3 linked regions of the Stegostoma tigrinum genome follow. The protein of the gene in region 1 interacts with the protein of each later gene in a pairwise test. Links are inferred from orthologs where the notes say so. Each region holds a gene or a part of one and is shown on either strand. Other genes may lie near its edges.

What was found.
Region 2: the proteins of KH domain-containing, RNA-binding, signal transduction-associated protein 3 (region 1) and inpp5d interact in binary tests that used the Homo sapiens proteins (3 or more experiments, as listed by UniProt). The two-hybrid records come from large-scale screens. The link is inferred for Stegostoma tigrinum from reciprocal best matches to the Homo sapiens genes KHDRBS3 and INPP5D.
Region 3: the proteins of KH domain-containing, RNA-binding, signal transduction-associated protein 3 (region 1) and si:dkey-13p1.4 interact in binary tests that used the Homo sapiens proteins (3 or more experiments, as listed by UniProt). The two-hybrid records come from large-scale screens. The link is inferred for Stegostoma tigrinum from reciprocal best matches to the Homo sapiens genes KHDRBS3 and BAHD1.

What each region holds. Positions count from the first base shown.
Region 1 is NC_081358.1:103,391,288-103,399,059, forward strand, and holds the start of KH domain-containing, RNA-binding, signal transduction-associated protein 3, read left to right. Parts: upstream 1-4,760; 5' UTR 4,761-5,059; intron 5,060-5,210; 5' UTR 5,211-5,211; coding exon 5,212-5,302; intron 5,303-7,772. UniProt on the Homo sapiens protein: RNA-binding protein that plays a role in the regulation of alternative splicing and influences mRNA splice site selection and exon inclusion. Binds preferentially to the 5'-[AU]UAAA-3' motif in vitro.
Region 2 is NC_081367.1:11,628,907-11,636,326, reverse strand, and holds the start of inpp5d (phosphatidylinositol 3,4,5-trisphosphate 5-phosphatase 1), read left to right. Parts: upstream 1-4,401; 5' UTR 4,402-4,560; coding exon 4,561-4,694; intron 4,695-5,036; exon of another isoform or gene 5,037-5,051; coding exon of another isoform or gene 5,052-5,059; intron 5,060-7,420. UniProt on the Homo sapiens protein: Phosphatidylinositol (PtdIns) phosphatase that specifically hydrolyzes the 5-phosphate of phosphatidylinositol-3,4,5-trisphosphate (PtdIns(3,4,5)P3) to produce PtdIns(3,4)P2, thereby negatively regulating the PI3K (phosphoinositide 3-kinase) pathways.
Region 3 is NC_081363.1:79,326,062-79,333,727, reverse strand, and holds the start of si:dkey-13p1.4 (bromo adjacent homology domain-containing 1 protein), read right to left. Parts: upstream 3,020-7,666; 5' UTR 3,007-3,019; coding exon of another isoform or gene 2,961-3,006; coding exon 2,935-2,960; intron 1-2,934.

The sequences.
Region 1 (7,772 bases):
CTACTAGGAAGCATTCAGCCTCACAAAACTGACATATTTGGTTTTTCATTTATCTCAGGACTATTAAGATAAGCACTCCAGAAATACACAAGTTAAAATGTTCAGGGTTTTCAAATTACAAATGAACTATAATGACTATTTTTTAAACACTAGATACTGAATCACATTTCTTGTTGCAAATAAGAAGCCTTTGCTATATTTAGTTTTGCTGTCTCTGTGTTCTAGACTTGAGGAAAAAAGACAATGCAAAATCCCCAAACCTGTTCAGCAACAAATGGCCATTACAGTAGACTTTGAACGACAACAAATGATACCGTTATAGTCATTTTGTAGTACATAACTCAACTATTATTGAGAGGTGACCTTATAAAGGTTTATAAAATCTTGAGGGGCATTTGTAGGATGAATAGCCAAGGACTCCGTCCCAGGGTAGGGAATCTAAGGAATAAAGTGAGAGGGGAAGGATCTAAAAGGCACCAGAGGAAATACTGGAGGCTGGTGCAATTGCAACATTTAAAAGGCATCTGGATGGGGACAAGAATGGGAAGGGTTTAGAGGGATATGGGCCAAATACTGGCAAATGGTACTAAATTAACTGAGGATATCTGGTCAGCATGGATGAATTGGGCCAAAGGGTCTCTTTCTAATGCTGTTCAACTCTGTGACTCAATGACTGTTGTTGAAAAAAAGAATCAATGTGTCAAAGCTGTTTGAATTGCTGTCATCAGGACAATTTATGAAAATACTATATTAAGAGGAAAACGAACATTTACACTTAAGAGAGGCCAGTGCTGGTTTATTGGCAAATGGACTTTGGTTGGTAAAGATGTTGCCATTCAGAAAGCAGCAGTTATTGATGGCTTCAGAGATAATGGGAACTGCAGATGCTGGAGATTCCAAGATAATAAAATGTGAGGCTGGATGAACACAGCAGGCCAAGCAGCATCTCAGGAGCACAAAAGCTGACGTTTCGGGCCTAGACCCTTCATCAGAGAGGGGGATGGGGGGAGGGAACTGGAATAAATAGGGAGAGAGGGGGAGGCGGACCGAAGATGGAGAGTAAAGAAGATAGGTGGAGAGGGTGTAGGGAGGGGATAGGTCAGTCCAGGGAAGACGGACAGGTCAAGGAGGTGGGATGAGGTTAGTAGGTAGCTGGGGGTGCGGCTTGGGGTGGGAGGAAGGGATGGGTGAGAGGAAGAACCGGTTAGGGAGGCAGAGACAGGTTGGACTGGTTTTGGGATGCAGTGGGTGGGGGGGAAGAGCTGGGCTGGTTGTGTGGTGCAGTGGGGGGAGGGGATGCACTGGGCTGGTTTAGGGATGCAGTAGGGGAAGGGGAGATTTTGAAACTGGTGAAGTCCACATTGATACCATATGGCTGCAGGGTTCCCAGGCGGAATATGAGTTGCTGTTCCTGCAACCTTCGGGTGGCATCATTGTGGCAGTGCAGGAGGCCCATGATGGACATGTCATCAAGAGAATGGGAGGGGGAGTGGAAATGGTTTGCGACTGGGAGGTGCAGTTGTTTGTTGCGAACTGAGCGGAGGTGTTCTGCAAAGCGGTCCCCAAGCCTCCGCTTGGTTTCCCCAATGTAGAGGAAGCCGCACCGGGTACAGTGGATGCAGTATACCACATTGGCAGATGTGCAGGTGAACCTCTGCTTAATGTGGAATGTCATCTTGGGGCCTGGGATGGGGGTGAGGGAGGAGGTGTGGGGACAGGTGTAGCATTTCCTGCGGTTGCAGGGGAAGGTGCCGGGTGTGGTGGGGTTGGAGGGCAGTGTGGAGCGAACAAGGGAGTCACGGAGAGAGTGGTCTCTCCGGAAAGCAGACAGGGGAGGGGATGGAAAAATGTCTTGGGTGGTGGGGTCGGATTGTAAATGGCGGAAGTGTCGGAGGATAATGCGTTGTATCCGGAGGTTGGTAGGGTGGTGTGTGAGAACGAGGGGGATCCTCTTGGGGCGGTTGTGGCGGGGGCGGGGTGTGAGGGATGTGTCGCGGGAAATGCGGGAGACGCGGTCAAGGGCGTTCTCAATCACCGTGGGGGGAAAGTTGCGGTCCTTAAAGAACTTGGACATCTGGGATGTGCGGGAGTGGAATGTCTTATCGTGGGAGCAGATGTGGCGGAGGCGGAGGAATTGGGAATAGGGGATGGAATTTTTGCAGGAGGGTGGGTGGGAGGAGGTGTATTCTAGGTAGCTGTGGGAGTCGGTGGGCTTGAAATGGACATCAGTTACAAGCTGGTTGCCTGAGATGGAGACTGAGAGGTCCAGGAAGGTGAGGGATGTGCTGGAGATGGCCCAGGTGAACTGAAGGTTGGGGTGGAAGGTGTTGGTGAAGTGGATGAACTGTTCGAGCTCCTCTGGGGAGCAAGAGGCGGCGCCGATACAGTCATCAATGTACCGGAGGAAGAGGTGGGGTTTGGGGCCTGTGTAGGTGCGGAAGAGGGACTGTTCCACGTAACCTACAAAGAGGCAGGCATAGCTGGGGCCCATGCGGGTGCCCATGGCCACCCCCTTAGCCTGTAGGAAGTGGGAGGAGTCAAAAGAGAAGTTGTTGATGGCTGACGGGTAATTGGCAAACCATGCAACTCTGAATATAAAAGCATTTCCCTGAGAAATGATTCAGCGAATAGACTATCACCTACTTTGTTGGGTTGATACAGGTCTAGTGCTGGTACATGTTCCCGACTGTAAAAACATGGCTGTTTGCCTTAATATATCTAGATTGCAGTATATATGAGTCTGCCACACTGTGAGCCTGACTGACAATTTTAAATAATACTGTGACGTTTCCCATAGAACCAGAGTCAGAATCATAAAGTGTAGAAACAGACCCTTCGGTCCAACTCTTCATTGTCAACCAAACTTCCTGTAGAAAGGCGCAGGAGAGGAGATTTCTTAAAAGTAAAATATGTCCAGCCCATTGATACCTCAACAGTAAAGTACTTTTCCACACCCACCACTGCCATTAATTCTGCAAAAAGAGAATTTGTAACTTTAGTATCCATGGGGCTCAATATTTTTCAAATACTTCCCTTCATGTCTCAAGATCTGTGGAAGTTCTAAAATATCATTCCAAACATCCTCCACAAGTCTTCATCATTCTTGGAGATTTGCTGTTCCACAACAGTCAGTTCAGTAGTTCATTGCCATCGAACGGTTACGACTTGGACGTGCAACTGAGTGTGGCTAGAATAAGGCTTAACACATTCAGGACAAGGAAGTCGGAAAAAAAGGACAAAACTACTGATCTAAGAGTTTCATTGCATTTGGAAAACAGAACACTCTATTGGTACCTTTCAGCCTTGCAAATTACAGAAATGAGATATTAAACCAAGGAATGTCTGCTCTCTCGGGCAAGTGTGAAATATTCCAATAACACTGTTTCAAACGCTAACAGGGAGATAGCCTGGTGTACTGGCTAATATTTATCCTTCAATGATTATGAAAAAATCCAATTGTTTATTATCATATGTTTGCCTTGGGAGTTTGCTACATGTTAATTTGTGGCTGCGTTTTCCAATTTTAAAAAGTGACCACTGTTGAAAAGTACTTCACTGGCTGTAACTCTTTGGGGTGGCCTGAGCTTATGATAAACGATAAAAAGACGCAAGTCTTTCCCTTGGTTTAATTAATTTCCCGTTAATTATATTCGCATATTTTAACTAAGAGTGATTAATAAAGTGATAGGACTGAATATAATGAGGGTACGTTACATAATTCGAATACTTTCGGCAGCAATAAATGCAGCAAATATTTGGGGAAATGTGCAGAGTACAACTTAAACCACAGGGAGGCAGTATTGCCACTTCCCAAATAGTCGTGCACAAGTGGTGAGTAATTTCTCCCCAGTCAAGCAGCAGCACACATGATGTCTATTCTAAACATACTACCCCTATTCTATTATGGACCTATCAACTCTGCCTTATTTTCAGTCGGATTCAGTCAAAACGCCTCACCCTTTTGCGCACTGGTTGCGAAATTAAAATGTCAATAAATATGTAGCAATTCATTGCACTGAGCTCAAAATGAAACTTTACACATTGGCTAGGGGCGTAAAAAAAACAAAAAAAAGCGCCAGATGTAGGGAAAACTGATTCGGAGAATACGAAGTGACGGAGAAGTCAGTTCATTGCAGGGCCGGTTTGAGGAGTTTTTTACGACTCGCTGTGGGATATCGTATGATGTAAATGGAGGGACAGAAGTGACGGATTTGATTGACGGGCCCCAGGTAACTGGAGGACCTGAGCGAATGGGTCTGCGCTTGGCGATGATTGGGAGGCAGGTGAGTGGGCGGGGCTAGTGTCAGACAGGTTAGAAGAGGGGCGGGACCTTTGCGACACTGTCCAGGGATGTTTACTGGGCGGGGCAAGAGCGAGGGAGGCTGGATTGCCCAGGTGAAGGGGGCGGGGCCAGGGTTTGTTGACGTGCCATGTGCTTAGGTCAGGGGATCGGGGTGATTGACAGTGCAGTGTCGTGGGGCGAGGCTACGAATTGATTGACGGGCAAATGGAAGGTTGTGAATGGACGTTGGGGGGGAAAAGGCGTGGTTATGAGCGACGCGAAGGGGCAGACAGGGGGCGGGCCACGAGATGATTGACAGGCCTGGGACGCGGTTTGGAGCGGTATGTGTGGATAGTAGGGGGGAAAGACACTTGCCGCCACAAAAAGCCGGGCTCCTATTGGAGAGGGTGGGACCTCCCGGTGACGCTGTCCAATGGTTGGGCACAGACTTGGCCCTGATTGACGTCTGACAGACCAATGGCGTGGGAGGGACGGTGAGATGCAGGAGAGGCTGCGGACGGTTATTTTTGATTTCTATTTCTCAGCCTGCCCCCTCCCCTCATCGTCCTTTATAATCTGCGTTGTCGCCTGAAGCGGAGGGAAGGGGGTGAAAAAAAGAGACGAGGGCGAGTAAAGAGCAGAGCACGAGTGAAGTGAATAGAAGTGTGTGTTTGTCTGTGTGAGGGAAAAGACAGAGGAACACGAGGACGGCATTGGCACCTTGGAGCCGGGATCTTTTTTACTCTCCTTCGGAGTCGGGGTTTTTTAATTCCCTCGGTACTATATTTCATTTTTTTTGTTTTTAAAGATTAAATGTACCAGACACGCTAAATTATGCCGGCAGAGCCGGACGCTGTTTATTTTACTCTTCTGTACTGAATAACTGTTTTCTTTTAAAATCATCCAAATCGCCCCTTTTGCTGCACAGGATGGAGGATAACAAGTACTTACCCGAGCTGATGGCCGAGAAGGACAGTCTGGACCCTTCTTTCATCCATGCCACCAGGCTGGTGACAGCAGGTAGAAGAACAATATCTTTTGTCACGTAAATAAAAGCAAACTTTCCAATTATTCTTCGTGGGGAACATCTAAATTCACATCAGACCTCTAAATTAGAATGTAATAGGGCATTTAACCGTCTTTATTTAAAAGGCTTGATTTAGAGTAATTGATTTTTTTTGTTTCATTTTAATTTTGGCTATTTACATTTATGCGCTGTGATGGGGTAAGAATAGTTGCCGAGTGGATAGGAATTTCCTGATTTGTAATCCTTCTTCCCCCCCCCCCCCCGCTTAAATCAGTGAAGATTTTTCTGTTGCCGTTGTCTGTTAGTTTCACACACTCGTGAACATCCAGACATTTCTTCTCACCCAAGGGGGTATGTGTCTGATTTTTAATTTTTGTTTCAGTTTTTGGCCGTTCCTCGACAGACGTAGATTTGAAGAGTTTAGCTTAGTTGAACAGTTAACACGATTGAGACATGCGTGTAGGTTTGCGAATGCAGGCAAAAAAAAATGTTTTAGACCATTTTTAAAATAATCATTCACGATCTGTGCGTGGTTTTTGTTCGTGTCTGAGTATTTAATATACTCATGTTGAATCATACTTCACCGTTAGTTTACTGGACAGCCTGTTTGGTCCCTTGAACTTTCATGCGAGAACTTTTTCTATTGTCTTAAAATTTCCGTTAAAAAAATATATATGTAGACACATTAAACTCAATGTAAATTTAAACGACAAGAATTCTACATATATCGAAAGGCTTATTTTTGCATGTCTACTGCATCGGTTAAGTTACTTGTTTGGATGGAAGAAATGTCACCCATAAAAGCCTTTGTTCGTAAGGATGAAGCCTTGCGGATAAAGCTGGATCCTTTATCATGGAAGAATAAAATTGTAGATGCCAGTTAGAGCTGGATGTTAGAAGATTGTTTCAGTGTTCTTTGATTTATTTTGGTGTCTCCAAGCAGTGCTTGGAAGAGGTCTAGGAAGATGGATTAACATGAAGTATACCAGTACCAAAATGCATAGATGAGTCAAAAGCTAAGGCAAAACTGGGCTCTACTTTACTGATGGATGGGGGTAAATAACCATTCTTATTTGGTAGTCTTTATTTTAAGTGAATGCAAAATTAACTTTTGATATGCCAAAGATTTAACTCATTCATACATGTTTTGGTACTTTTCATGTTTTAGTGGTTTTTGATTTTGAGATGAGCTGCCATTAAACTGATGAAGATTAATGCATATCTAAGCTATGTTTTATCTAATTAAAATAAGACCTCATCAATTTAAAAGTATTGTTATACCATGGATGTATTAAATTCTTTTGTATGCTAACTGACCTGTGTGTAAACTTAAAGCAGTTTGCTAAAGATTTTGTAAAGGCATATGTAGTATTTAACAATCTAAAGTTTATTGTAGAAATACAGATGCCTTGTTTACAATACTTGCTTAGAGGTGGCAACTCATTAACTTTCAAAGTGGTCTATATGCACCTTTTTTGACTTAGCATATTTTACAGGCATGCTGCCTATACTTGTCTCTTTACTGTTGTGAATTTTTATAATGGGAAGCCTGCAAGTTTTAATGAAACTTCAAAGCCTCTAATACCTTGGTTCTATTAAAATTGTGCCATTCAAGGCTTTTCTAAGAGAAAATTATAAAATTTCTTGGTGTGGTTGCTTAATGTGCATTTTTATTACAGTTGTTGCCAATATGTTCACATGAAGCTGCTGATGTTCTAACTGTAACTAATTCGACTGTGTAAGGCAGGTTTTGGAATGGAGGCTGTTACAAGGAAATAATTGAATGGATGTTATTTGTATTTTTGGCTGAAAATTTAGCATGTAATGTGGGCATTCTGCCCACATACCTCCATGATAAATAGCAGTACGCTGCATGTAATGAATGGCACCCATTTATACTTGCTTTTGGAAGTACTTTACTACAGTAGTGTAGAGAGGAATCAATAGTGTATGTCTCCAGAGATGCTACTGCTAGCTTGTTTTTCAGGTCACTTCTGGATTCAGGGATGCTTCCTGTTGTTTGTTTGCAATACAAACTGGTTGAATCAAACTTGAAACTGCAGTATTTTGTGACTGTTTCTTTCGAATGCTGTTATGTTCTTTTGCCAATTGTAAAATGGGTTTTGTGTGACAAATTGTATGCTTGCCTTTTGTGGAGCAGAAGTCCTTGACTATACATTCTTCTAAATATATCTAGACTTTTCAAATGATCTGAAGTTCACGTGTGAATTAAGTTAATCATTTCAAATATGAAAAAAAAGGTGGTTCAAGGAAGTTGAAGTGGTCAGATTGTACATCTGCAGCCATCAGAAACAATTTTATTGGATCAACTACCTAACAGATTTTTGCGGAATAAGAATAAGTGAAATATTTAGTTTTTTATATGAAGTGTACATACTGATTGGAAACTTTTCATTATAAAAAATATAATACTAAATTATTTGAATAACCTTTTTCAGTCCT
Region 2 (7,420 bases), on another chromosome or scaffold:
CCTGGAGTGTGGGAGGCTGAGGGCTGTCCTTAGAGATGTTTATAAAATCATGAGGGGCATGGATAGGGTGAACAGCCAAGGTCTTTTACTTGGGGTTGGAGAGTCCAAAACTAGAGGGCATAGATTTAAGTTGAGAGGGGAATGATTTAAAAGGGATCTGAGGGGAAACTTTTTCACACAGACGGTGGTGCATATATGGAATGACCTGCCAGAGGAAGTGGTGGAGGTTGGTAGAATTACAACACTTAAAAGGCATCTGGATAAGTGTATCAATGGGAAGGGTTTAGAGGGATAGAGTTCAAAAGCTGGCAAATGGGACTAGATTAATTTAAGGTATCTGGTCAGTATGAATGAGTTGGACTGACGTTCCCTTTCCATGCTGTTCAGCTCTGTGACTTCATGCTCTGTGGCTGACAGGGAATCTTTTGCAAGGGTACAGACAGGCAGTTCTGAAGCTATCTAACTCCAGGATGTTTTGCTATCTCCCCAGTGCTGGAGACAAGGATGTCCCAGAGCAGCTGAGGACAGCTGGGGAGGGTGAACAGCCCATGGTTGTGGTCCTGCTTGACACTAACAACATATGTAAGAAGTGGGATGCACATGCTATTAAAGGGAAAATGATGATGTGGCTAGGAAATTGGTGGAAGGAGACCAGGCAAAGAGTGATGGTTATTTTCTTTCACACTGGGGGAGCTGTTGGAAGGCCACTGCTGGTTTCCAAACTCATGTAAATACTGGTGAATGGTTTGTTGGGAATCTGGATAAGAGTGAGCCGCTACAGGACTTAATGGTCATGGATGGCATATTCATAATTTGGAAAAGCTGCAAATCTTTTCAATGCGCCTTCTACTAAGAACAGGAGAGTTTCTTGTGGCAACCACAATAGCGTCTCCATCTTAAAGAAATAACTCCAGAAGTTTGTCTTGCCACAAAGAGTACTGAAAAGTTTCCTGGATGTTATTAGGAAAGGAATAAATGGTTTATTGGGTGTTATTTTTTAGGAATCATTCATGGATTGTGAGCATCACAAGCTGTGTCAGCACTAATTGCTTGTCTCTATTGCTGTCTGCCTTCTTGAGTTGCTGCAGTCCATTGGTGGAGGCACACTTACAGTCCTGTTCCAGAAGGGCGTTCTAGGATTTTAATTGACAATGGTAATGGAATGGCCACACAGTTCCTAGTCAGGATAGGAAGTGAAGTCTGGGCTCGGAGGGGACCTTGCAGATTGCCGTGTTATGTATCTTCTGTCCAGTTCTTCTCGGTGGGAGGGCTTGTGTTTTTTTTCAAGTTGTGGTCACAGTAGCCATGACGAATTGACGCAAACTCAAGCCTTTTGCAATTTGCGTGTAGTAAATAAAGATGACACTGTGGGTTAGTGGTGAAGATGTTATCTGTGGTGCTGTTTTAACCTGGATAGTGTTGAGCTTCTTCAGCAATATTGAAGCTACATTCATCCAGACAAGTAGACTGTTTTCGGTTACACTGAGCCATAGAATCATTGAATCCCTACAGTGTGGGAGCAGGCTAGTTGGCCTATTGAATCCACACTGAACAGCTGAAGAGCACCCCACCTAGATGCATACCCCCCACCCCTATCCCTGGGATGCTGCATTTACTATGGCTAACCCACAGAGCCTACATATCCCTGAACACTAGAGAGCAATTTAGCAATGGTCAATCTGCTGAACCTGCATATTTTTGGACTGTGGGAGGACACCAGGAGGGAATCCATGCAGACATGGTAGAATGGGCAAGCTCCATACAAACAGTCACCCAAGGCTGGAATCAAGCCTGGATCCCTGGTGTTATGAGGCTGCAGTGCTAACCACTGAGCTGTTTGAAGTCTATCCATTTAGCACAGTAATAGTACCACACAACACAATGTACAGTATTATCATTGTGAAGCAAGATTCCATCTTCACAAGGACTGTGTGGTGGTCACTCTTACACTTACTATCTTGGACACCTCCATCTGTGCCAGGCAGATTGGTGATGCTGAGGTCAGGTATGTTCTTCCCACTTTCTGGTTCCCTTTCTACATGGCGCAGACTCAGGCTGGCAACAATTTTTTTTTAGGACTAAATCAGAAATCACTGGAAAAGCTCAGCAGGTCTGGCAGCATCTGTGGAGAGAAATCATTATTACCATTTTGGGTCAAATGACCCTTCCACAGAATTTATCTTCTGGGACTGGCCAGCCTAGTCAGGGGTACTACTACCGAACTATGTGTGATAAACATTAGTGATAAACATTTAAGTCCTCCACTCAGAGTGTATTCTTTCCATTTTCACAGCTTCTACGAATGGAGGAGTACTGATGCGTTAGTCGGGGGTGAACGAGTGTTTGGAGTGGAGTCACAGGTTGTGGTCAGCAAGTGGTTTCTTTTCCTACATTTGACCTCACTTCATGGGGGCCTGAAACAATGTTCAGGATTCCCAGGCAACTCCTTCATCAGTGTATACCTATGTGCTGTAACTTCTGATGGGTCTGTCCTGTTAGAAGGATCGGCTGTACCCAAAGATGTTGATGGTGGTGTCTCAAACATTGTGTGTAAGATACAATTCTACAAGCATGAATGTCACGCTGTTGCTTGACTGATCTGTTGGACAGCTCTCCCAGTTTGCTACAAGCCCCGGACATTAGAGAAGAAGACTTCTCCGGTTCAACAGAACTGTGCTTTATATTGTCATTTGTAGTGCCTGGGTCAAAGTTGGGTGATCCGTGTAGTTTAATTCCTTTTCCAAATTTTGAAGTAGAAGGATACAACAGTGTATCTTGCTAGGCCATAGTCAGAGGACATTTAAAGTCAACCACATTGCTGTGAGCCTGGAGTCATATGCGAACAAGGCCAGGTAAGTATGGTTGTTCTTCCTTCCATTTAGAGACTGGAGTGAACCAGTTGGCAGGTGTTAATGACAGAGGAGTGAACAGTTTGGGAGAATTGGCAATGAGAGGAGTGAAGGGTATGGTGGATGCTAGTAAGAAGGGGTTGAATAGCTCAAGCATATTAGTGTCATAGAGATATACCGCACAGAAATGGACCCTTTGGTCCAACTTGTCCACGCTGATCAGATTTCCTAAATAAATCTAGTCCCATTTGCCAGCATTGGGCCCATATCCCCGAAAACCCTTCCTATTCATATACCTATCCAGATTCCTTATAAATGTTGTTATTGTACAGGTACTACCACTTCCTCTGGCAGCTCATTCAATACACGCACCATCCTCCGCGTGAAAAAGTTATCCTTTAGATCCTTTTTAAATATTTCTCCTCTCACCTTGAACCTATGCCCTCTAATTTTGGAGTCTCCCACCCTGGGGAAAAGACCTTGCCCATTTGCTCATTCACCCTATCCATGCCCCTCATGATTTTATAAACCTCTATAAGGTCACCCCTCATCCTCTGACACTCCAGGGAAAATAGCCACAGCCTAGTCAACCTCTCCCAATAGCTCAAACCCTCCAACCCTAGCAACATCCTTGTAAATCTTTTCTGCACCCTTCCAAGTTTCACAAAATCCTCCCTACGTAGGGAGGCCAGAATTGCATGCGGTTTTCCAAAAGTGGCCCAACCAGTATCCTGTACATCTGCAATGAGAGTGGAGTAGATGATGTGGGGCTGTTAATGTGATTGGAGGCGAATAGTTTCTTGCATATCGATGAGAGAGGAGTGAATGAATTGAAAGGTGAGAGGGGACTGGTTGAATAGTTTGAGGGAAATCAATGAGACGGAAGTGAATGTTCCAGTGAGTGAGGTGGGGGGGGGGGAGAATGTTATTGATGAAGGACAACTGAATGTTCTGGAGGAGGCGTGTTAATGAGGGAGGAGTGAATGTTCAGGGGTGGGGGTTGGCATTATTGATGAGGGAGAAGTGAATGCTCTGGAGGAATGTGTTAACAAAGGAGAAGCGAATGTTCTAGGGCAAGAGGTTGTCAATGAGGGAGGAATGAGTGGATGGGGAGTGTAATTATCAACAGAAGCGTCAATGATGCTGAAGGCGTTGTTATTGAGGGAGCTCTGATTGTTCTAGTTTGGGGGTTGCTAAAGAGGAAGGAGTGAATGGACTGTGGGGGTGTGGTGTTAAAGAGGGAGGAGTGAGTGAATGGTTTGGAGGGTGTTAATGACGGAGGAGTGAATGGGCCAGGGGAGGGGTGAAATTAACAATGGAGGAGTGAAAGAATGGTTTGGGGGTGTTAATGAGGGAGGAGTGAATGAGAGGGTGGAAGAGAGGAGTTACTGACGGAGGAGTGAATGAATGGTTTGGAGGGTGTTAACAAGGAAGGAGTGAATGGGCTGTGGGGGTGTGGTGTTACTGAGGGAGGAGTGAGTGAATGTTTTGGAGGGTGTTAATAAGGGAGGGGTGAATGGGAGGTACTGATGCACTGGTAATAAACTGAAACACGTGTGGTTTTCTTTATGTCAGATTGCGCTTTGAGGAAGTGAAATTCAGTCCGGCTTCGTCACGCTCAGGAAAGGCTGGCTGAGGGTGAGCTGACGCCGGGTTCGTCTGTTTGAAGCGGCAGCCGAGGTTTGGATGGAATAAGGAGTCGGAAGGAAAGATGAACGATCGCTGGTACCATGAGGACATCTCCCGGCCTATGGCCGAGAGCCTACTTGCTAAGGCGGCTCAGGACGGCAGCTTTCTGGTCCGGCACAGCGAGTCCTGCGAAGGAGCGTTAGCCTTGTGCTTGCTGTAAGTCGGGGCGGGGTGCACTTTCACTGGAGGTTATAGTCAGGCTGGAAGCAAGGGGACATTCTCCTAGCCTGGCTGCCACACAGGACCAATATCTTTATAAAAGATGGGCTGCTCTATTCACTTGTTTGCTTCCTACGTGAAGGCGTTACTGTATATGTACAGTACACCGATCTCAGTCTTGTCAGTGCAGCGTTATTGCCTGTTGCAGGGTTTCGTGATGACTTATCCCCACCTTTCAACTATCACCTGGTATTCGAGTGCTCATTCTCAGCCCAGACATCAGGCTCGGGGTCCTGCAAGTGATTCATCTGGCCGCTTCCCTCGGACCTGTCTGCAGCGCCAAACGGCAAGGAAATGGTTAAGTGCGTTGCTGCAGTTCGCAACCTGTTGACTTGTGCCTTGGGGGGTGCAGTTGGCCTTTCTCTCCTTTTCACACTTTTTTTTTGGGGGGGGGCAACTCTCTGACTCTTGTGCGTTACAGCCCGTGACAGAAGATAGGCTTCCCTTAAAACTAAGATAATGAAATGTGAGGTTAAACTTAAAACTAGTTGCACTGATCCGACCTTAGCGTGTTTCCGTGCAGAGAAATTGATTGAGATATCTGTGATAAAATGCTACACGCTCCTTTTTCCTGTATCAGAGTTAAACTGGAGCTGGACTTAATTACTGCAACTTTTGCTTTCCATGCTGAGATGCTGCCCAAAATATATGGGTCAATCGAGACAGAAAATCAATTATTTCAGTGGTCAGTGATTACACTTTTAAAGATTTCCCTCTATCAGTGGTCATAACATTCCAGTGAACACTTTCCCATGCTTTCTCCTCTGTTCATTCCCACAGATTATACCTTCAGTCCCACTCAGGCTTTTACTGGAAATAGTTCCAGCAACTTTGACCTTCACCATGTCCTTCACTTTTACAGTGTTGGTGAATAATTGATAGTTTGTTCCAGAATGAACCACTGCTTTCTAGTGACCATATCAGATGAAAAAAACACTTGCACAAAGCACACTGGTAGGGTCCCTAACACTGGATTAGGAGGCCCCAACTGCTTTAGCGGTGTGTAATAATATCACTAAACAGGTTGATTAGGAAATCTGCACTTGAAATTAATTTGCCAATTGCATAAATGCCCATCTTGCAATTCATAACAGCCAACTGCGTGGTAATGTGTTTCGATAGAAGGAGTCGAACACCTGAATAAGATGCAGGAGGAGTTCATTCGGCCCTTCAAAACTGCTGCTATTTCAGTACAATTAGGGTTGATCTTAATTGGATCCTCAAATCTGCATTTCCATCTGCTGCATTTTAAGCCCCTTGCTTAACAAGGACACATCTACCTGTGCCTGAAAAACATTCAGGACTTTGCTTCCATAGTCTTTTCAGGGAGAGGTTTCTAAAGGCCCGTAGCTCACTGTAAAATAAAAATTGCCTGTTTTAAAATTCTAATTATAATTAGCTTTAATTGCCACATGTACTCACCAGCATCAGTACAGTGAAAAGTTTACAAGCTGCCACTTACGGTGCCATCGTAGATACAAATGTACCTAGGCACAGGTATTAAGACTCTTAATACAAAGCAGAAGAACAAAAAGCAAGCCAAGAAGTTAAACATTACAATCCTACCAAAGAAACACAGGTAATAATTCAGCATCCTGGGCTCGTATTTCTCACAAGGCTTGACTTCACTCATCGCCACCTCGGACTGTCTGCTCCCACTCTCTCCACCAGCCATCTCAGGCTGCCTGGTCCCATTGTCACTGCACATCTCCAAGGCTGCCTGCTTCCACTCTCTCCACCTTGGGGTTGCCTGCTCCCACTCTCGCCGCCAGCCATCTTAGGCTGCCTGCTCCTGCTCTCATCGCACATCTCCGAGGCTGTCTGCTCCCACTGTCACTGCTGGCTGTTTCAGGCTGCCTGCTCCCACTCTCACTGCATATCTCCCAGGCAGCGTGCTCCAGCTTTCACCGCTGGCTGCTTTGGGTCACTTGTTCCAGCTCCCACTGTTTTGTTTTAGGAAGAGTGTTCACCCACCATTAATCAATGATCCCTAGTTCTAGATTCTCCTAGAAGAGGGAACATCTTTTCCATATCTGCACTGTCAAGATCCCTTAGATCTTTGTTTCAATCAAGTTGCCTCATATACTTCTAAACTCAGCAGACACAAGCCAGGCCTGATAACACAGGTTTTAGTCTGGTAAAACTTCTCTAAAGTACAGATGCATTTATATCCTTCCTTAAATAAGGTGACAGGAATGGGATAATACAGTAATCAGGTGTGATCTGAGCAGAGCTGTTTATAGTCAAAAGGTTAAATACTAAACAAGCATATAAATAGGATAGAAAAGCAAAAGAAATTCTTATGGTACAGATGGATAAGTCCCTAATTAGAGACACAAATTAATAAGGTCATAAATAAGTAACTGGGTTGTTCTGAAGGGTCTAGGCCCGAAATGTCAGTTTTTGTGCTCCTAAGATGCTGCTTGGCCTGCTGTGTTCATCCAGCTCCACACTTTCTGTCCCTTTGTAAATGCAGGATAACAGTCATAAACATCAGAAATTATTTTAAAGTTGTACAGCACATTACTTAGACTACACTTGGAATGTGAACACTCTGACTTCATTCAATAAAAATGGGAGTGACCTCAGTTTTCAAAATTTCAATTTTTTTGATAGTGGGTGGGGTCAGTAGGGGATGTGGTCGGGGAGGAGAGAATTTGAGA
Region 3 (7,666 bases), on another chromosome or scaffold:
GTCTACCCAATCTCTAATCATAACTACAATTCTAAAGATCCTGTGAAGATGCTGGTAAAGCTCCTCTGTGCCTCCTTTCCGGTGCAATCACATTCCTCCAATAATGTGGATTCCACAGCTGCACACAATATTCTAACAGTGGCCTAACCAACAGTTCCAGCTTAACCTTCCTGCTCTTAATCTCTCTCTGTCCCAGCTAATAAAGGCGAGCTTCATAAAAAATTTATCCATCTGTCCTGATACCTTAAGGGACCAATGGACATGTGCAGCAAGGTCCCTCAGATTCTTGGTACTTCCCAAGGTTTTACTATTCATTGTGCACTGTCTTATTTGTACTGCCCAAGTGCACTACCTGCCAGTTATCCAGATTGAATTCTATTTGCTATTGATCAACCAATCTGAAGAGCCCATCCTGTAATTTAAGGCTATCCTCCTACCACCCCACCAATTTCTGTATCATCCACAAACTTACGAATCAACTCTCATACATTCAGTTCTAAATCATTTGTATATGCTGCAAACAGCAAGGGCCCCAACAGTGATAACTGTGGGACCCCAATTGACATGCTATTCTAGTCACAAAAACACCCTCCACCATCACCCTCTGCTTCCAAGCACTGGACCAGTTCTGGATCCAATTTGATTTTCTTGGATCTCATGATCTCTTACCTTGGCTATCAGTCTCACAATGGGACCTTAACAAAGGCCTTGAAGTCCAACTAGACTACATCAAGAAGATAATAATAACTGTCCATACTGGAGTCTGAGATAACACCGTGTGGAGCTAGAGGAACACAGCAGGCCAGGCAGCATCAGAGGAGCAGGAAAGCTTTAAGGTTGGGACCCTTCTTCAGAAATGGGGGATGGGAAGAGGGGCTCTGAAATAAATACCGGGTGTTCGGCTGGGGAAGGTAGGTGGGATGGTGATAGGTGAGGGCAGGTAGGTAGTGCTGAGGATTCGTCAGTGAGGTGGGAGGAGCGGACAGGTAGGAGAGAGGACGGACAAATCAAGGATGCGGCGATGAGAGGGAGCTTTGGTCATGGAATGAGGGCGGGGTGGGGAGATTTTGAAGCAAGTGAAGTCGAAGTCCACATTGAGATCATTGGGTTGTAGGTTTCCAAGGCGGAAATATGAGGTGTTGTTCTTCCAGTTTCCGGGTGGCGTCGTTGTGACACTGGAGGAGGTCCAGGGTGGACATGTAGTCGGGGTGGGGGGAACCGAAACGTCAGCTTTCCTGCTCCTCTGATGCTGCCTGGCCTGCTGTGTTCCTCCAGCTCCACATTGTGTTAGACCACATGAAATACATTATCCTCATCTAAAAACCTGAATATGTCTTCGAAAAATTAAATCAAATTGGTTAGATCTGATATCCCCTGAACAAAACCATAAGTTGCACTGGGCATAATTTCAGTACACAGTTCTAGATTTGGGTATAAGAAGCAAAACAGAAATTGCTGGAAAACCTCAGCAGGTCTGGCAGCATCTGTAGAGAGAAATCAGAGCTAACGTTTCGGGTCCAGTAATCCTTCTTCGGGACTGCAATGTCAGTACACAGTCTCAGAGAGACTGGGTATAATGTCAGTAAACATACAATTCCAGATAGACTGGGTATAATCGGTATATATCTCCTTGCAATAAACTACACTCTCACACCCCGGTGACATCTCCATGATGGTGTAGCCTTTCCCCCTCCAGGAATTAAATTCCAGGCTCATCCGCTTGGCGGGAGGGCTAATGGATCTGAGGTGCGCTAAAATGGAAGCATCTGGTGGTGCCAGATAGCAGATCCCACAGGCTCTTAAACGCTTCACTAGTTCTCACCATACAGCCTGCTTTAAATTGCAGCGAGAACACTGCAGAACGAGGGCATATACAAATTGAACTGAGTGCAGAATGTTCACCTCTCTCTCACAGGCGCAGATACAGACAGAAATCTCCAGTAACACCAGGGGCTGATGCCCCACAACACTCTGAATGGCATGAGGGCTTTTAAAAATAAGGATTCCTTCCACATCAGCTTTCTCTGATCCTGCCCGTGAACTGGGAGACCGTGAGCTCTTTGATAGTGCCAAATCTTGCACATTCCTCAAAACCTTTGCGTCGAACTGAAGCAAACACGGGGAAGGGCTAGGGGGCAGGGGTTGAGCTGGAGAGTGGCTGACATGTAAGCGGGCAGGTTACTCTCCCTCCCCGGCCTGCTCCCCACCCACCAACTCTCCGTGTTCTTGGTTCACCATGTCTCTGCCACCGCGTCTCCCTCGCTGAGAATCTCAATGTTTGCCGACCTGGTTTCGCTCCCGATCCTGGCTATGTTGGCGTCCCGCTATCTCTACATCTCAGAAATACATCTGTCTCTACCTGTGTCTCATTCCCAGGTGTCTGTCTCCCTCTCTCGGCTCTCTGTACCATTCCCAAAGCGTGATTTCAGGCATTGTGGAACTGCCTGTACCCTAGTCTGTCTCCGCCTGTCTCTAGGTCAGTCTGACAAGATTCCGGTCTCCATATGTGGGTTTCCCTAGCACTCTGCGTTTCTGCAGTCACCTCTCTCTCTCGTACTCAAACACCCTGTCCCTCATTATCTTGGGTTTTGTTCTCTCTCTGTCTGCTAACGGGCAGCTCATGACACTTGCAATTTTAAGCATAAATTTCGGAGTCCCTACCGAACACCCCACCTCCGATCTAAAGCCGAAACACAGGTGAAAACTTGACAAACGACCTCACCGAAACGAAAAATAAACAGCCTGGCTTGCAACCCCTAGTCTGCCGACCCCTGGACTCGTCAATGTGCAGAATATTCCCATTTCTCTCTGCACTGCCTGGGCTGGGTCATATTTTCAATTGGATGCTTGCAAAAAAAAATTAAAAACCTATGCACTGCAACAGCCTCGCCCCTCGCCCCCTTCAAACGACAACAGCCCACACTCCGGGCTCACCTCCTCCCGCACCTCCGCCCATCCATCGTCCCGGCCCGGGCTGCCGTTAGCTGCAGTCCTCTGCGGCTGCATCTGCGCTCCGTTCAGAGCCAGCCCTGGCGGACGAGAGCTCGTTCGCCCGCCGCCGCCGCCGCCGCCGCCACCTCCTCCTCCTCCTCACCGAAAGCACGGATCCCTGAGACGCCGCTCAGCCACATGATGCTGGCCCGCAAGAGGCGAGTGAACTAGGATTTCCGGGATGGTCCAAGGTACTCTCGGCTACAGCTGCTCCAGGAGTCTATTTGGTATTCAGGGTCTACACCTCTCTCTCTCATACAAGAGCTCCTTTCTCCTCCTTTCCAGCCTTACTGCGGTGGGATGTGCCCAGCTCCTCCCCTCTCCTTCTCTCCTCCTCCCAAAAAGCAAAAACAGTGCACCTGCATGCGGTTCAGTTACTGGTGGAGACCGACAGCAGACACACACAGACTCCAGAAGAAGGAAGGTTAGGGATGAAAGATTGGTTGACAGGGCAACAGTGGCTGCATCAAGATGCGCGTGGAACAGCTTCACCCCCCCCCCCCCCCCCCCGCAGGAGTAAACACACCTCTGAACTTCTACCTGTTCCTGGTGTTCGAAAGACTGGATTGCTGTGGTCCTAGGCAGTGAATGGAATGGGTGGCTCAGTGGTTAGCATTGTTGCCTCACAGAGCCAGGGACCGGGGTTCGATTTTCCCCCTCAGGCGGTTATGTGGGTTTCCATTGGGTGCACCGGCTTCCTCCCACAGTCCAAAGATGTGCAGGTTGGGTGGATTGCCATGCTAAATTATCCTCCGTGTCCAAGGATGTGTAGGTTAAGTGCAACAGCCATGGGATACAGTAAGGGGTTGGGTCTGGGTGGGATGCTGTTTGGAAGGTTGGTGTAGACTCAGTGGGTGGAATAGCCTGCTTTCACATGGTAGGGATTCTGCGAATGTGCTCTCCCAACTGTACCTTGTGGAAAGGTTTATGTAGATAAACACCTTTGGGGAACCACAGGCCCATCTTGGTAATGCACCAAATGTGATGTCCTCCAGATGTAACAATGAGAACCAAGATGTCAGGTGGCTGCTGGTGAGGAGCTTCAATGAAGATTGTAGTAGGGTATGCCAGGAGCAGCACCAGGCATGCCTAAAAATGAGGCTCAATCGAACTAAATAACATCATCAGACAGATCTAAGAGTTTCCACAACCAAAAGATCAGATCTAAGCTTTGCAGTCATTCACATCAGTTGTATGGTGATGTACAGTTAAATAACTTACTGGAGGAACAGGCTCCACAAATATTCCTATCCTCATGAATAGGGGAACTCAGCACATCAGTGCAAAAGGTAAGGCTGAAATGTTTGAACCAGAATTGCCAAATGCATGAACCAACTAGGCCTCCTCCAGCAAGCATCAAAAATGCCAATTTGATTCACTCCATGTGAAATCAAGAAACAGTCGAAGGTCCTGGATAGTGCAAAGGCAACAGGCCCTGTCAAATTTCCAGCGATGATACTGAAGACTTGTGCTCCAGCACTGCTCCCCTAGCCAAGCTGTTCCAGTACAGTTACAACATCAGCATCTACCTGACAGTGTCGAAAATTGCCCAAGCATGTCCTGTACTCAAAAAGCAGGACAAAACTAATTCCATCAATTACTGTCCCATGTATGTATACTCTTGATCATCAGTCAAGTGAGAAAGGTGTCATTGACAGTGATATCAAGCAGCACCTGCTCAGTGACGCCCTGTTTGGGCTCAGCTCCTGACCTCATTAAACAGCTGAATTCCAGGGGGGAGCTGAGAGTGACAGCCTTTGATGTCAAGGTAGCATTTGACCGAGTATGGACCAAGGAGTTCTAACAAAACTGAAGTTAATGGGAATCGGGGAAAAGATTCTCCACCAGCTGGATTCATACCTGGCACAAGGAACATGGTTGTGATTGCTGGAGGTCAATCATCTCAGCTGAGAACATCTCAGCAGCAGTTCATCCAGTCATCTTCTCTCCAAAATAACGTAAGAAACAGGGATGTTCGCCAATGATTGCACAATGTTCAGCACCATTTGTGACTCCTCAGATACTGAAACAGTCCGTGTTCAAATGCAACAAGATCTGGAAAAGATCCACATTTGGACTGAAAAGTGACAAGTAACATTTGTATCCACAATGTGCCAGACAATGACCATCTGCAACAGGAGAGAATCTATTCATGGCTCTTCGATATTTGCTGACATTACCATTAGTGAACACCCCACTTTCAACATCCTTTGGGTCACCATTGACCACAAACTGAACTGAACTAGCCATATAAATATGACCTGTAATGGCAGGTCAAAGTACAGAAATTGTGTCGTGAGTAACTCACCTCCTGACTCCCCAAAGCCTGTCCATCATCTACAAGGCAGAAGCCTGGATTGTGATGGAATGCTGCACATTTTTCTTGATGTGTGCAGCTCCAGCAACTCTTAAGAAAGCTTGACATTATCCCAAGACAAAGCAGCTGACTTGATTAACACCACATTCACAAAACATTCACTCTCTCTACTACCAATGCTCAGTAAAAGCAGTATGCACTGCAGAAATTCACCAATGTTCCTTCGTCAGCACCTTCAAAACCCACAACCACTTCTGCCTAGAAGGACATGGTCAGCAGAAATGTGGGAACACCATCACCTGCAAGTTCTCTTCCAAGCTACTCACCATCCTGACTTGGAAATATATACTGTTCCTTCAGTGTTGCAAGGTCAAAATCTTGGAATTCTGTCCCTAGGGCCATTGTGGGTCTACCAACAGCACATGACTGCAGCATTTCAAGAAGGCAGAACACCACTGCCTTCTCAAGGGCAACAAGGGATGGGCAATAGATGGTCCAGCCATCGATGCCCACAGTTCATTAAATGAATTTTTAAAAAAGTCCTTCACCATTAACCAGATCTTTTCGTACATGCCTGGTGCCTCACCCACTTTGGCAACTGCCCTCGAGCCTGCAGGCGTGGGGAAGTGATCCTTACCTATCTCCTTGTTGAATTTGCCTTTGCAAAGAAGGCCTGGAAAAGATGGTTTTTGTTGAGGTTCACCTTGAGCAGCTCTGCAACTCTGTTCTCTATGGCTGTTCCCAGGGATGCAGACTGAGAGAAACCACCTCAGCATATGTAGGACCATCAACATATTGAAAACCCCCCTTTCGTCTGCTGAAAACCTGTTGGTCTTTTACTGCAAGAGTTATCTCTGACCAAGAGTTGTAGACAGATAGGTTCCAACGTCCAGGACTATGTGCTGAGGGTCATATTCACTCTTGGGCAGCTACCACACAGATGCAATGGGGATATGTCACTGTCTAAACCCTTTCAGCCTTAATACACCAAGAGTCTCAAAACTGGGTAAATCTCCTGGACTGTACGTCAGAAATGTAATGAATCTTATAAATATCAGCTGTAATTGTAAGTGTAATGAGTAATATATGGTATTAGAAGAAAAGCATTTGGTTTGCCCTTTATGTAATGTCAACTTTGAACAGTCACTTAATGTAATTTTAGAAGTTTTATGAATAAAGAATCTTTGGAAAAGTCTGAGGGAAGGAAGGACATATGTAGAAAAAGAAGCAGGAGAATGAATAGGTCTGAAGGGTGGGTGGTTAGGAAAAGGGAGATAATGGGTGAAAAGAGGAAAAGAACGTAGAGGAGGAAACAATAAGCAGACAAAGTAGAGGGTCAAAGGGAACAAAGAGGAAAGTAGGAGTGAAAAAATCTGGTCAGGTTGAGCTGAGGTCTAGAGGAAAGAGGCAAAGAATCAAGAGGAAGGGAAATGAGGAAAGAAAGGATTAGGCAACTATAAGAGAGCACCAAGAGAAAGAAGAAAACTGTAGAAAGCACAGAGAAAAGGGAAGGAAATAGCTCAGAGTAGAAAAGGAGAGGCAAAGAACACAAACTGGAGCACATTGAATGTGCGTCCTAGAGTAAAGGTGTGAGTGTGAGTCGATAAGCTGATGAGGATGAAGATCAGAAATAAGAATGTGGAAGGAGTGAAAATGAAGAAACAGGAGTGTAGGTGACCCAGAGAAGATCAGAAAAAGAAAAGTGTGCAGAACAAAATGAAGAAAGAGTGATAGAGAATCGAGTAAGGTTGTCGGAATGAAACCTTTGATACAATAAATGAAGAAAAGCAGCTTTGGGGAAAGAGTATTACAATGTTCCCAGCAGTACTGCACTAATCTGCATTCACACTAATCTCAGCAGTAGTGCACTTATCTGCTCTCATTCTGATCCCAACAAAAATGCAATAATCCACACTCACACTGATCCCAGCCATTCTGCAGTCATTTGCATTAATTCTGATCCCAGCAGCACTGCAGAAATCGGGACTAACAATGATAGCAGCAACATTTGCAGCGAACTGTAAGAACCTGCACTCAGTCTGAGCCCAGCAACACTGGAGTAACCTTTTACTGATTCCAGTAATATAATAATCTGCACTCACACTAATCCCAGCAGCACCAAAATCTGCACTCACACTGACCATTGGAACACTGCAGTGATATGCATCTACCTCATCCATCATTTTAAATATTTTGTCAGTTTCAATGAGATCACTTCTCATTCTTTGAAATTCTCGAGAATACAAGCCCAGTTTGCCCAGTCAGATTTGCTGTCCCAGGAATGAGTCTGGTGAAAATTCATTGTGTTTCTTCAAGTAGAAGAATATTCTTCAGGTATTAGGATCAAAACTGCACATG